Xenopus tropicalis: one gene and its partner. The protein of the gene in region 2 binds, or shares a complex with, the protein of the main gene of each other region. Links are inferred from orthologs where the notes say so. Each region holds a gene or a part of one and is shown on either strand. Other genes may lie near its edges. The genes, in order: eif3l and eif3d.

Region 1 (4,436 bases), about 1.5 Mb from region 2:
GCTTCCTCATAGTCTTAAGATAGTCTTACAAACTGCACATGTACAGTGGTCTTGGTGCAGGAGCATGGCATTATGGGAATTTTGTTTACAGAGCTCAGCTGGTTTTTTTTTTTTTTTCTATGAGGTTTCTGATTATCTGAACAGGCGAAAAATGGGGAGACTTAAGGGCACTATTGAGAAAACTGAAGGTATGCCTGCAGCGTGAGATTAACACTTTATTAGTCTTTTCTTCTCCTTTACTAGGGCTCATTTACAGTGCAAGTGCTAGTTTGGACACAAAATTAAGCACACAATAAAGAAAAACTGACACCAGAAATTAAGCTGTTTTAATATATCATAACATTATCTTTGCCTGAGCTTCGAATTTTTGACATAAAGGTATTTTCGCAATGCTTTCACATTACCTATCTGATCCCCTATGTTCTTTTATGAAGGGGCTGCCATATTTGTGCAGCAGTAGGCCTAGAATCTTTAACCGACAGACTGAGAAGAGACAGTCAGGTTAGCAAAAAAGTCAGGTTTAGGAACTTCAAGTGACAATTATTAACAGATGCAAACCTATCTGTAAAAAAGGATCAACATGACATATTACTTTTTATGAACATTAATATTTTGAAAAGTAGTTTTTTTTTCATGTCAGTATCACTTTAACACTCTTTACAAAAGGTTTCCTCCCCTAGTGGGTTGGCTTTATAAGCCAGTACCAATGTGCCAGAAGTGAAGGAATAATGTCCGTCCCAAATGGTCACTGTAGCTTGCAGCCAAATCTGTCAAACCAGATAGTAAATTGCTTCCAAATTGTGGGGCGTGCATCCTAATGGGTGCAGTGGATGAAAATAGAATTTAAAGGGAAAATAAACAATGCATCATAGATTAAAAAAACCATGGTAGTTGCATGATATTTGTGTCAAAAAAAGTGCATCTTGCACTTTGAATCACTTTGCAAATAAGCCTGATGTCTGTAATCACAAAAAAAAAAAAACTATTTCACTGCAATAGCATGACAACATAGAATTACAAAAACTATATTTAATAAGAAAAAAAAGAGTAAATGTATAAATCTAGGTGCAAAAAATGTACCTACCAGTATGCATATCATAATCTGCCTGGTAATTGTATGGATCATAAGAACCCTGTAAAGAAATAAAAATGTTAGTATGGAGCAAGATGATAGTATAAATTGGCCGATCTGTGTTAGGCTGAAGCACTTTTACAGATGCAAGTTATGTCACAAATAGCAAATTGAAATAAGCTAGTGTAGGGACCCATAGGGTTAAATGCCCTATGGAGTGATATCCCTACCTCTTCACATATCCCTGGGCAGAAGCCTTTGTAACATTTTACAGGTATATCTTATCCTTTATTGGCCCATATGGTTGTCCACACCCCTTGTAGCCTCATATAGTGTCTAGCAAGGAGGTGTGGCTTCCTCTTTGGCTCTCTGTCTGTCATCCAACAACAGCTCCACTGAGCCTGGGCACAGCAACAGGCCCCAGCACAGCCATTATCACCCCAGATACCAACATCCTATCTGGAGAAGTCGGGGACAGGGCCCCGTGAACGAGGTGTAGACAGAATAGCAGTTCTTGTGATAGCATCCTCTAGGAGGAGTGAGCTCAGTTAGATCTATATAGTAAGGGCAGCTCAGCCCCCAACTAGAAGACAGCCCTGGGAGTATTTCCTCCACTAGGCAATATTGCCTTAGCTTAGGGCCACGGACTAGTGACAGGATACAGGTTAGTATAAACCCTGATCTCTGCCCAGCCATAGGACCCACAAGAGTTAAAGGTTATCAACCTGGGGATTGACTTCACTATCCAGACTGCCTTCCAAAGTGGTGCCAAGCTGACAGGTACTTTACCCTGCCCAGACTCTACCAAGAGGTGGGATAAACCGGTGGTACCCTCCTTTACTATCCTCAGTGGGTTCTGTTATATCTACATGTCTCTGAGTATTGATTGAGCCCTGTGCTTATAACATCTGTCTTGGACAATAGAGAGTTAACAGTTTGATTGCAAGAGCTCCTGGCATCCATTTTCTAAATTTGAACTAACAAACTACACAGTACCAGTGGGAGTTGTAGTACAACAACACCGTTCATCCCAATTCCTTTCACATAGCGAAGGCCCATTCCTTTGAGAGTCCCAATGTACCCCATGCTCTGTCCATAGCCGTAGTTTGTCTAATTATAGCCAAAAAGGGGTTACACTAGGATAGTGGGAAAGCCAAAGGAGCTAGTCTGCCCCATGTTAGATTGCAAGCCACTATACTGTTGGACAGAGCCATAACTAGCAGTCAGGGCCAGCTTGTGATACATTAGACTGGCTGGGCAGTACAGACAAGTGTTACTGCTCTGATATATACATGTGTACAGCAGGAACCCACTATGTAGGCTCACAGTTGCTATCTGGCCAGTATATTACTGACCTGGCTACTAGGCTTACTGACAGTGTTAACAAGGGTGGCAAAACCGGTATTCGTTAATGTGAATATATAGCAGGGAGGGGATTCAGCACTAACACACGTCTTTATTTTATAGTCCCACCTTGCCACCAAACATGAAGCCTCAGAACTAATCTGCCATATTACAAAATCTCAAATAAAGATAACGTGCATATTATTACTATGGCATTGTTCTTTTAACACAAGGGATTGAAGTCCTATAACCCTAACTATCATATCCCACAGCAACGTCTCTAGCTATAGTGCAATGCACCGCACCCCAAAGCAATCAGGGCCAAAAGGCCAACGCTACTCACTTCAAACTCTTCGTTGGCGTAGGACATGGTTATATCGTGCGAACAGGACACCGAACACCGGCACCCGCGGAGCGCACACTACACACTTAAACAGGAAGAGAAAAGGGAGACTTCCGGCGCCTTTCTAAAACGTCATGGCGTACTAATGAGCGCTGCCGAGAGATGGCGCTGGAGAAGCGCGCGCTTACTAAAGTAAATGTAGTGAGATCTTGTAATTATAACTGGTATATTCTGTGTGGAAGGGAGGCACACCGTCATAAAACTGTTCTTCTTTATGCCACCTATACTTGGCACCCAGCAGCCACAGGCCCTTGGTTTGTGGCAATTGTTTGTGTTCAGCTTGGCCTGGTAACTACAGCAATGTGTCACAAACAAACATTATGCTTCCAAAGAAGCAGCACAACCTATAGACTGGGGCTACATTTCTGCCATTTTTAATGACATGCTCAAGAAGCAGGGCTTTTCCTTTACTGTTCCAAGAGTCTGAACGAGCAGTGCAGAGAGGGACAAACAAATACTGCTTTTATTTTCAATTTATATAAAAAATATCTGTGGGTTTCTCTTTTAATTATAGCAACACAGCTGAAACTATATTATGCTAACACAAGTATTAGTATTATACAAATATGTGTGATATAGGATTTATTGAACCATTCCCAGATCCTGTGTCACAAACGTGAATTATGACCAAGCTGGGAATATTTTTTTGTTCACTTTGTGGACATGCACATAAGCAAACACACCCATTTTACCAAAACACACCCCAGATGTGGGTATGGGTAATGTGCATATTAACCCTAGATGTGCCAGTAAGATAACTCTTCAGCCTCCCTCTTCCTGATTATTAAACCACTGTGAAAAAAAAATCCACAATGGTGCATTCCACAGTGGCAAAGCATCTTGGATTTTGTTTAGAAGAGCAGGGAGCTGATAGCTGGCCATGACATGTGGCACAATTTATTATTATTAACATTTATTTATAAAGCGCCAACATATTCCGCAGCACTGTACAATAAGTGGGTTTCATACATTGGACATACAGAGTAACATATAAAGCAATCAATAACCGATACAAGAGGTGAAGAGAGCTCTGCCCAAAAGAGCTAACAATCTACAAGGAGAAAGGGTTGAGACACAAGGTGTGGGAATAAGAATACAGTCCAGGACAGCAGGCTGTGTGCTTAACTGTGACTGTCCCATAAAAATTAAGACAGATAGGAGATATGCATCTACCCCAACATGGCCATACACACTGGGAGCTTCCACCAAGTGCTTGGGGGGGAGGGGGTCACTTATTTTCCCCATCTGTAGTGTGGGCTCTGTTACTTGTATGTGATAGATACCCTTTCATAACATTGGCATCATTTTTTACTGGCCAGGTGGCCACCATAGATATGTGTTACCCTGGTCTCCCCACATAAAGCAGTGCAAAGGAGATAAAGGAAAGTGAAAGAAGCTGATTTATTAAGAGAAAAATATTGGGAACTGCACAGTCAGTTCATATGCAGTTACAGGAACATACAATGAAATTGTTTTGGGTCCACATAAACATTAGTAATATGAACATTGTTCACAATCATATATTGATTATATTGTATTTATATAGCCCCACAAGGGTACACAGAGCTTTAAAAGCAATAGACACAAACAGGGGTATGGTCATTATAAATCAGACAG
Region 2 (3,823 bases):
AAAAGAAATATGAGCAAAGGGTGGGCGTGGAATCCGTATTCTAGTCAATGGCCCTAACAAGCAGAAACGATTTCACTTCGAAAAATGAAAACCCAATTAATACAAATCCAGCAAAAAAGATAAGTTGCAAAGCTGCTTAGGATACTGCCATCTAAAAGACACTACAATTAAAATAAAATTCCCTGTTAATGACAGGTTTGTTGAAAGAAAAGTGAGGCAAGGAATAAATCACAGTCATCACTCACATGTCTAATGGATCAGACACCTCCATGTATCGCATTTTCATCAGCCGTGGGAAGTCCATCTCCTCCTTTACCTCCCAGTCACTCCGCACCTCTACAGAGGAATCACGAGGTTTCAACTGGGCCTGCAAAAAAGGAATACGCTATGTGAAGCATACAAAGGTAACTAAAAGCCCCTAAGAGAAAACAAGCACTGCTGTGGCAAGTACCTGAGATTTCTGATCCCACTTCTGACGTACACCAAACTGTTTCTGGAATTTCTTCTGAAGTCTTAGGCGATCCCTGAAATTAGAATTCTCATGTCACACCGTAGGATGTAGAAGCTAAAAATGACAGCATGTAGCCAAAAAGTCACTTACCTCTCTTTCTGCTTGGCGCTCTTAGGCAGTGTCTGCATGTTAAATTGCAGCATATTCCGCCTGTCTTTGTCCCGACGGAGATTCCTCTGCAAGAATGGAAGACAGTATATAAAATATAATCTCCAGCATGAAGTGCTTATGTAATCATGCCCCTAAAGGTGTTTATATGTCTGATAGCATGCTACTAATACCCTGTGTGTGTCACAGTATAGTAATCATATTAGCACAGGCCCATCAGGCCTTCAACATGGTTTTGCAGATGCCAAATATTATAAAGTAACACAAATCAGTTTACTGCCACAAGCATAACAATTAACTTAATCCTCCCTAATTACCTGTGCAAATCGCAGCCTGTTCCTTTGGTATGCAGTCTTCTGCATCTTTGTGGTATCCACGAGCTGAAAGCTTGTTTCATCCTCATCATGGAAATATGCATACTGGCTGCCACCTCCAAACTGGGAAGAGTATTTATCTAGGAATGAAAAAGAATCAAGATTAAGCAAGAATAAAAACTGGCACAATGCAGAGGTGGGAAGGAAGAAATATTCTTTAGAAATTATAAAAAAGAAATTAAATTAAAGGGTAAATGACACCAATAATTTTTGTGAAGTCTTGGATCACCTTCAGCCAATTCCTTTAACCCATAGGTGGCTGCCTTTATAACCAATTCCTGACAAAGCCCAGTTTCAGCAAGTCCAGTCTCCAAAAAGAGTAACTGGCTTTGCAAACAACAGTTCTTTAATATCAAAGAACCAGGTATTCGTGGGAAAAAACAGATCAATAAAAATCAGCCAGGAGCAGCACATCTTCTTAGTACACTGACAATCTAGTTTGAGTTGCCCAGGACCATCCAGTCCCGACAATCTCTGAATACAGACACCAGCATACAGATAGTTCCCTGTCAAAAATGACAGGTGTATCATCTCCATTAAATACTTTTTATTCTATCCCCACTGGATGATGATTTGGTCTATAAAAAAAACCAACTGCGATTGGGTGAGATTAGAACATGAAGTTAAACATCCTTGATGTCCTTATGTAGATGTTTAGGATCTTGAGGTCTAAGGCCAGAAAATGTGGTCCATCATTTTTGGCACATTAATGACATCTGAATATTAACTAAAGAATATCTTGGCATAATGGGAGCTTTGACCAAGGCTCCAGTTCCCTAGGAGGAGATGCCTCACTTAAAAATCAAAGCCAATTAAAAGGACTGATAGACCAGTGATCCCACATCTCCTGTGGACAGCAGCAATAAAAAAAAAAAAATAAAAAACCTGAACACACAAATACAGTGGTCAACTTACACCTCTGGGCAAACCCTACAAACGCAACATTTTCTGGCAAATAAAATTTACAAGAGATTGATACAGTTTTAAAGTTCATAAATCAATATGACTGAGTTGATTTGATTCTAGCCCACTTCTTCTGAACTTCACTGAAGTTACAGCATTGGCAATGATCTCTGTGTATACACTTTGTCCTTTCCTGCCATAAGCAGTGCTGAACTGCAGTGAAGCTGAATCGCTAGTACTGCTCAAATGGATTGTAACTCAGGCACAGCAAATAAGAAACCACCTGCTTGCAGCACACTGCATAATCATAAGAAGTCAAGAAATGTTTAAAGAAAGTGGGAGAAAAGCTCTAAGCTTGGCTTATCAGCAAGCACACAGTTAAGATATGGGAAAGTAGCACACTTACTGGTATATCTCTTGTCCTGATATGTGGCCCCAGTCCAGTCTGCAACCTTATCAGTGAAAACAAGAAATACTCATGAGCCTTAGAGAGAAAGACATGCACATCATGGGAGCAATTTGTTTTCATGTTCTTTCATTTGTTCAGCACAGTCAATTATTTACCTTATGAACAGATTGCAAGCTCTATAAGGCTAATGTAAGGCTACCTTCCTTGCACACAAGTCTGCCAGTGGAAAAACAAGACCAATACCATCCAAAATCACCAGTACAGACTACGGCTGATTTGGCAGCTGCATGTCATGAAGGCAGGTTTCAGGCTGAAACCCAACCTATTTTAATCAGTGACAGGCAGTTTGCTTTAATGGCCATTGCAGTCTTTACCAGTGGTATGAAATTGTAGTGGCATTTCTTTTGCAGTTGTGTGCAACATTAGCCTAAAGAGTAAATATTAGCATTTTATATCTTTTGAGTATTCATTTTATGATGTTCTGTTAGCAACTCTAACAGGAAGGAGTGTGGGAGTAAAAGAAAAATTGGCTAGTGTAACATGTAGCATGTATGTCTGCCCGCCCTTGGTTTGTATGTGAGCGCAGTCCCTCATATAAGCCAGAAGGCAGACTTCAGTACTTGACATGGCAGTTTTTTTTTTTATTTGGGATTACCCAATGGCACATAGTGTCAAAGTATATTTCTCATGAAAAGGCTTTATTTATATGAAACAGTATTTTACATATGGATGGTTTTATGGGATATAGTTTTGTAGTGACCAACATTGTTTGGTGTTATAGTTTCCCTTTAAAGGGGCGGTTAACTTTTAGTATGTTAGAATTGCCTTTTCTAAGCAACTTTTCAATTGGTCTTCATTAATTATTTCTTATAGTTTTTGATCTATGTGCCTTTATCTTCTAACCCTTTGCAGCTTTCAAATGGGGGTAACTGACCCCAGCAGCCAAAAAAATATTGTTCAGTGAGGCTACAGTTTTTTTTTTATTGTTACTTATTATTATTTACATTTATTTATAAAGCGCCAACATATTCCGCAGCGCTGTACAATAAGTGGGTTTCATACATTGGACATACAGAGTAACATAAAAAGCAATCAATAACAGATACTTTTTATAACTTATACTTTTGTTTTTCTATTCGGGTCCTCTCCTATTCATTTAGCCTCCTAGCTGCTAAGGTAATTTGGACCCTAGCAACCAGATAGCTGCTGAAACTCCAGAGCTGCTGAACAAAAAGTCAAATAACTACAAATAAAAAATGCAGACCAATTGCAAATTGTCTCAGAATATTACTCTCTACATTATACTAAAAGTTAGCTCAAAGGTGAACAACCCCTTTAATCAAAAACCCACCCCAGAGAATAGAGACTGACACACTAGGTTCCCATCTCACACAAATTAATATTTATAAGATAAGAATAAAACGTACCTTGCCCAGTCGGTCTCCTTTGCTGAAGGGCTGGTATGGCATATCTTTAAACTGATCGGGTACAGCGCATGGGCCCCATCCCAATGGGTTG

What was found.
Region 1: eif3d (region 2) and eif3l share a complex: the UniProt entries of both Homo sapiens proteins name them as parts of the eukaryotic translation initiation factor 3 (eIF-3) complex. The link is inferred for Xenopus tropicalis from reciprocal best matches to the Homo sapiens genes EIF3D and EIF3L.

Annotation. Positions count from the first base shown.
Region 1 is NC_030680.2:122,081,064-122,085,499, reverse strand, and holds the start of eif3l (eukaryotic translation initiation factor 3 subunit L), read right to left. Parts: upstream 2,844-4,436; 5' UTR 2,787-2,843; coding exon 2,760-2,786; intron 1,134-2,759; coding exon 1,085-1,133; intron 1-1,084. UniProt on the Homo sapiens protein: Component of the eukaryotic translation initiation factor 3 (eIF-3) complex, which is required for several steps in the initiation of protein synthesis.
Region 2 is NC_030680.2:123,532,651-123,536,473, reverse strand, and holds part of eif3d (eukaryotic translation initiation factor 3 subunit D), read right to left. Parts: coding exon 3,733-3,823; intron 2,349-3,732; coding exon 2,303-2,348; intron 1,074-2,302; coding exon 937-1,073; intron 688-936; coding exon 602-687; intron 525-601; coding exon 452-524; intron 368-451; coding exon 246-367; intron 1-245. UniProt on the Homo sapiens protein: mRNA cap-binding component of the eukaryotic translation initiation factor 3 (eIF-3) complex, a complex required for several steps in the initiation of protein synthesis of a specialized repertoire of mRNAs.